2 linked regions of the Saccharomyces cerevisiae S288C genome follow. Changing the gene in region 2 together with the main gene of any one other region gives a genetic interaction. Each region holds a gene or a part of one and is shown on either strand. Other genes may lie near its edges.

Evidence for each region.
Region 1: mutations in YPL150W (region 2) and CLC1 together harm fitness more than expected from each alone (negative genetic interaction), as found in Saccharomyces cerevisiae (2 studies listed by BioGRID).

What each region holds. Positions count from the first base shown.
Region 1 is NC_001139.9:830,456-833,817, forward strand, and holds CLC1 (clathrin light chain CLC1), read left to right. Parts: upstream 1-2,000; coding exon 2,001-2,702; downstream 2,703-3,362. Other genes in the region: TRS65 (Trs65p), read left to right, coding at 60-1,742; PEX35 (Pex35p), read right to left, coding at 2,897-3,362. UniProt on the Saccharomyces cerevisiae protein: Clathrin is the major protein of the polyhedral coat of coated pits and vesicles. In yeast, it is involved in the retention of proteins in an intracellular membrane compartment, presumably the trans-Golgi. The yeast light chain is important for cell growth.
Region 2 is NC_001148.4:266,275-270,034, forward strand, and holds the start of YPL150W (non-specific serine/threonine protein kinase), read left to right. Parts: upstream 1-1,913; coding exon 1,914-3,760. Other genes in the region: mRNA splicing protein PRP46, read right to left, coding at 1-1,261. UniProt on the Saccharomyces cerevisiae protein: Putative serine/threonine-protein kinase.

The DNA of each region.
Region 1 (3,362 bases), on a different chromosome or scaffold from region 2:
ACACTCTATATGGACAATATTCGAATTAAGCGCAATTGATAAATCACAACTCATTGACCATGGAATGTTTTGTACCGCTGCGTTGCGACTTAGATGGAAGTAATATAGAACAGTTACGTCAATCACACTTAAGCCGTAAATTTATTATATTTGATGAGCAACTGAATCTTTGGCTGTGGTTTCAAGGTAATTCGCAAGAGAACAAGAGATTTGTACTACAGAATATGATAATATTAATAAATGAAGCGCAAGTTACCAGAACAAGCACTATCGATGATTATTTTACCCAAGTTGAGAACAATGAAAATCTATGGAGGTTGAAAAACGACTGCTGTTCGAAGATTCTTTTCAAATCAAATGTTGTTATGAATAATGGTTATAATAATCAGATCAAATTTGTCTTTGAATATAAATCTGTGGATGCAAATTTCAATAACCAGGATTCATTACAAGATCCACAGGCAAAGTATACATTAGATAAGTACTCTAGCGAGGAGATTTTGCCAAGTTTTGAGCCAGTTTATTCCTGGTCTTCTGCAGCCACCAAATCATCCAAAAATACTAATAATCATCTGGAGAAAAATAACAGGGCGACTCATCGAGTTAGTTCTAAAAATAGCGAAGTCCACGAAGCGGACGTTTCTAGAAATCCGAATACATTTACTCTTAAGCTCCAATACCCAATATTCTCACTTTTGAATATGAGATTGAGAAACATCTCCTTGAAATCTGAGCATTGCATATTATCATCGTTAGACTTTCAAACTTCTAAAGCATCCGAACAACTGACCAAAAAATTTATTTATCCGCAAGAACACAATTCTTTTCTCAAACTGAACTTTCAAGAAATATCGTATAAACTAATCGACGGAACCTCTCAAATTGAACTAGATCCAATCTGTCCTTTGAAAGTGCCACTCACTGCATTTTCATACGATAGCATTAGCGCTACTTTTAAACTGGTTCTGTTACCCAAATCAACTCAACCACATCGTGTGAAAATCACCTTAGCGTACGAACTCGAGCTGCATCCCAATCTGAAGTTACCTGTGAGAACATCATGGGAAACAGAAGTCACATTGAAGCGTTCTATGCCAATTTCCTCGACATCTTCTCAATACTCGAGTAACAACAATAATACCAATCATAGCGCTTCTTTTAATGGTGCGGCCAACAACGTTAATTCTGGTGGTTTGGCCAATCTAAGATTAGGTGGGGTTTCCTCCTCAAGATTTAGTCTTGGAGCTGCTTCGACTACATCATTGGTGAATAGCAAATTAAGCAATGTAAAATTCAAGTTTATTAATAGCAATATAAAAGTTATTAAGGGCGAAAAGTTTACTATGAGGCTTCAGATCATTAACTCGTCATCATCCCCCCTGGATCTTGTTGTGTATTATAACAATACAATAAACCCAATCCCTTCAGCTAATAACGTACGTAACAGCAATGGTATAAACAACTGTGGCATGAATAATGGGACTATCCCCAATTCGCCCTTGACACTGGAAAATCAGTACCAACTGCATAATAAATATAGAAAAATTGCGGAGGGGATTATACTATTATCCAACGATTACAAAATTCCAGTTGTACCTCCGAGAGAAACATACTTCGCGGATTTACGATTTATTGGTATTATGTCCGGATATTATGGCACTCTCTCCGGACTTAAGGTATTGGATTTAAATACAAATGAACTTATAGAAGTTGGAAATGGCGCATCTGTGTTAATCCAGTAAGCGGAACAAGTATACATTTTATTAACATAGACTACATACTAATCTGTAACATTTCTATAAAAAAGTTATTATCATCACATTACACGATAGAAACACTTCCATATTTTTTTACACTGAAAGGGGCACCTAGAAGATTAAACAACTAAACTGAAAATATACGTGCTAGAAAAAGGGTTTTACAGCTTTACTTAGGCGTTGCGAGTCACCCAAAAGAGCAGTTGAAGGACGCCGCCGTTTCACTAGATACATATATATATAATGTCAGAGAAATTCCCTCCTTTGGAAGATCAAAACATTGATTTCACACCCAACGACAAAAAAGATGACGACACCGATTTTTTAAAAAGAGAAGCAGAGATACTTGGAGACGAGTTCAAGACTGAACAGGATGACATATTGGAAACGGAGGCTTCCCCCGCCAAAGATGATGACGAAATTAGGGATTTTGAAGAGCAATTTCCAGATATCAACTCCGCAAATGGCGCAGTCTCGAGCGATCAAAATGGTAGTGCTACTGTATCTAGTGGTAATGACAATGGCGAGGCAGATGATGATTTTTCCACATTCGAAGGTGCCAATCAGAGTACAGAATCCGTTAAAGAGGATCGTTCTGAAGTTGTAGACCAATGGAAACAACGTCGTGCTGTAGAGATTCACGAAAAGGATTTAAAGGACGAGGAGTTAAAAAAGGAATTGCAGGATGAAGCTATCAAACATATTGACGATTTTTACGATTCTTACAATAAAAAGAAGGAACAACAATTGGAAGATGCTGCTAAGGAAGCTGAGGCTTTCTTAAAGAAAAGAGATGAATTTTTTGGTCAAGACAATACGACCTGGGATCGTGCACTTCAATTAATTAACCAAGATGATGCCGATATCATTGGGGGTAGAGACAGGTCTAAGCTTAAAGAAATTCTTTTGAGATTGAAAGGTAACGCGAAGGCTCCCGGTGCTTAAATGATGATGAATAATAAGAACCATAATGAACTAAGGAAGAGAAGGGGCTTATTCCCTATCATTCCCGTCATACATGAGTATCATACTTGATAGGTTCAGTAAATAACTAATTCATACTGTAAATTCATTTATCAAGACAACTATAATATAGATTATTTACAAACTTGTAAACTCTTCTCTTCTAAAAAAACACATCACATAATACTAAGCTGAAACAAAAAGAATAGTATATATTTCCCAAAGTTGCAATGCCAATACTTTTTCAAGTAAACATTAACCAAGGACTTCGCAAAGAATTTTGCGAAAAATGGGCTGATTTTCATTTTACTTGTTGGATCCACGAAGGTGAATGTAAGAAGCATCACGATGCACCGCAATTTGTTGCCCATTAATCTGCGCCTTTTCGTGACGAATAAATATTCGATACACTGCCTTAATATAGTCCATTTTAGACTTGGAAAAAAACCCTTGGTGAAATATGAATTTATTATCTTTTCGTTTATATTTGCATAATTATCATCAATTGTAACTTCATGTATTTCATTTAGTCTGTCCATTACATGCTTCAAATTTGATGAAGATATGGGCCAATCATTATGGTTCTTGACCCCAAGGTATTGAGAAAAGTTCCTGACTTCGTGGCCGCCGACATTCTTATTT
Region 2 (3,760 bases):
TGTCTGCTTCTCCAGTGATTAATCTTAAACCTGTTTTATCGAAAGTGCTACAAAGAACACTCCGTTCACCTTCCAGAGAGCCTACCATTTCTCTCGTGGCCAACGATTGGTATTTGTGACCAGACTTATAATCATAAAAGGAAAGCACACCATTGTCACCGCCAGCGAATAATACATCATCTTGATTAATGCTTAAAGTATTGATTATGCCTGTCTTTTCAGACTCAAAATTGGTGAGTAAAGACCCCTCTGCTAATCCCCATGATCTGATGTCATCAGTACACGCAGAAGCCACCGAAAACTCCTTAGGATGCAACGCTGTAGCTCTCACAGACCTCTTATGATGTGTTAGAACTTTCATTGTTTTCCCAGCAACTACATCCCATAACCTTACCGTAGCATCAGTCGATGAACTCACCACTTGAGGGTCTACTGGAGTACACTGTACTTGATTGATTGGACCCTTATGCCCAACTAGTGTAATAACAGGTATTCTGGTTCTCATATCCCAGAGTTTGATAACGCTATCTCGGCCTGCGGTAGCTATGAGATCCAGCGTTGGATGTATGCTCACCGTACGAACCCCCGATAAATGTCCATAGTAATCTCTAATAATTTGGTTTTTCTCTAGGTCCCAGCATTTGACCGTCTTATCTTCACTAACAGAAAATAAATAAGGATGTCGATCTGACACAGCAACGTCTCTCACTGTCATTACATGCCCTGCTAAGGTAGTTTTTAATTTTCCTGTTGCAAGATCCCAAACTTTCATTGTCGTATCATTACTTCCGGTGATGAACCATTCGTTGTCAACAGGATCGATTGCAACGCATCGTACCCATCCAAGATGGCCATTGATAACGCGTGAAAGTTTCCAGGGTGCATGCCATTCCGGCCTTTGTGACAGAAGTTTTTCGTATCGATTAACTATAAGTTCTTCAGCAACCTCTGGTTGGAAAATTTTATTCACAAAAGCAGATGCATGCGTATCGTGATCTTTCTTGCTAATCACTGCTTGTGATGCTTCTGAAAAATCTGTAGGAACATGCTGCAGAGTAACTTTCTTGCCTTCACCACTAAAAGAAGAACTTTCCTTCCTATAAGTATCATATCGCATTAGCAATGATTTCTGACCTTCCATTTCGCTTTGTAGGTGGGGCGGCAGAGTGGCCATATATGAAAATTGGTTATTCCAGCGTATTCTGGAATAAAATTTGTCTACATCTCCTAAATTTTCGACTTTGTGATCATTTCCGTCCATTCTCACTAATCTCCATGTAACACAGTGTCTGCATCCTCGGAAATGGTTTTAAGATGCAATGAAGTGGGTAATAATTACTGTTAGCTTCACATCTTGAATAATCTTTTATTGCCAAAATTGTAGCTTTTCCGTATTAGATGATGAAGAATTTTGAGCACCCTTACTTAATAAAAGAGTTGTTGAACTCGAAATAGGAATACGAGATGAGGAGTAATTCTCTGAAAGTAGATAGCTCCTCTTGTCACATTGAATGCTACTTTATTGTGACTATAGGTGATTTAAGCGAACGAATGTTCTTAGGTCATCGTGGATTTGTGTGGTGATTTTCGGCTTATCTTAACAATGTTGACCGCGTGGACCCTCCCAATCTTGACAACAGAACACTTATCAATAACGGTATACAATAAATATCTTGTATGAATTAAATAAAGTAACGTTTTTTCCCTCATATCATTCCGAATCATTACGAAAATTCCAATACCTGTATTTTGAAGTCAACAAGAGTTTCGTTATCCGAATACTATTTTTTGTATCAATAAATTTTGTTTCGTTTTTCATTAATAACTAGTCACTGTGTAGTGGAAGCAAGTTCTCCTTATCCGTTGCCAAGAGACAATAAAAGACCCACATATAGGTGAATATACTGCTCACCATGGTTAATCCTGTTGGATCCTCGAAATTGGAACAAAACAATATAAAAAGCATTATAGGATCATCGTACAATCGACTATACAGCCAATTTACTTCTGATGAGTTGACAGAAGTGGGAAACTACAAGATTTTAAAACAAATAGGTGAAGGAAGTTTTGGAAAAGTATATTTAGCGCTCCATAGACCAACACATCGTAAAGTCTGCCTAAAGACGAGTGATAAGAATGATCCCAATATCGTTAGAGAGGTATTTTACCATAGACAGTTCGATTTTCCTTATATTACAAAGCTTTATGAAGTGATAGTGACAGAATCAAAAGTGTGGATGGCATTAGAATATTGCCCAGGGAAGGAATTATATGACCACTTACTTTCTCTGCGTAGAATATCGTTATTGGAATGCGGAGAGTTGTTTGCACAAATTTCAGGTGCTGTTTACTATGCACACTCAATGCATTGTGTTCATAGAGATTTGAAGTTAGAGAATATTTTATTAGACAAAAATGGAAATGCAAAATTGACGGATTTTGGTTTTACGAGAGAATGTATGACAAAGACGACATTAGAAACGGTTTGCGGTACCACAGTTTATATGGCACCTGAATTGATAGAAAGAAGGACTTATGATGGATTCAAGATTGATATATGGTCATTGGGAGTGATACTATACACATTAATTACGGGATATTTGCCATTTGATGATGACGATGAGGCTAAAACGAAATGGAAAATCGTCAATGAAGAACCGAAATACGATGCTAAAGTTATTCCGGACGATGCTAGGGATTTGATCTCACGATTATTGGCTAAAAATCCGGGAGAGCGCCCATCGTTGTCACAAGTTTTACGCCACCCTTTTTTACAGCCTTACGGTTCAGTGGTTTTAGATCAGACTCAGAAAATTTTGTGCAGACAGCGCAGTGGAGGGACTCAGTTTAAAAGTAAATTAGAAAGGCGATTGCTGAAGCGTCTTAAACAATCAGGGGTTGATACGCAAGCAATAAAACAATCAATTTTGAAAAAAAAGTGCGATTCACTCTCGGGTCTATGGTTATTGTTGTTAGCCCAAGGGAAAAAGCAAGAAAATTGCAAATATCCAAAAAGAAGCAGGTCCGTTTTATCAGTCAAAAAAGTTATTGAAAGTGCTACGCATAACGACACTAATGGCATTAGCGAAGATGTTTTGAAACCCTCACTTGAACTTTCTAGAGCTGCTTCATTGAGTAAAATGCTCAATAAAGGCTCAGATTTTGTAACATCGATGACTCCGGTTAGCAGAAAGAAGTCTAAAGATTCAGCAAAAGTTCTGAATCCTACTCTCTCTAAAATATCCTCACAAAGGGCTTATAGTCACTCTATTGCAGGTTCTCCTCGCAAGTCCAATAATTTCTTACAAAAAGTTTCTAGTTTTTTCAAGTCAAAAAAAAGCTCTAACAGCAATAGCAACAATAGTATTCACACAAATGTTAGTGAAAGCTTGATTGCAAGCAATAGAGGAGCCCCATCTTCAGGGTCGTTTCTCAAAAAAAACAGTGGTTCTATTCAGAAATCAAGAACTGACACTGTTGCAAATCCTTCAAGGACGGAGTCTATAGGATCGTTAAACGAAAATGTTGCCGGTGCCATTGTGCCACGGAGTGCTAATAATACTACATTAGAAAATAAGAAAACTTCTGGGAATGAAATAGGCTTAAAAGTAGCTCCAGAACTATTATTAAATGAACATATCCGAATAGAGGAACCTCGCCTCAAGCGCTTCAAATCGTCCATATCAAGTGAAATATCTCAAACTTCTACTGGTAATTATGATAGCGAATCTGCGGAAAATTCTAGGTCTATATCTTTTGA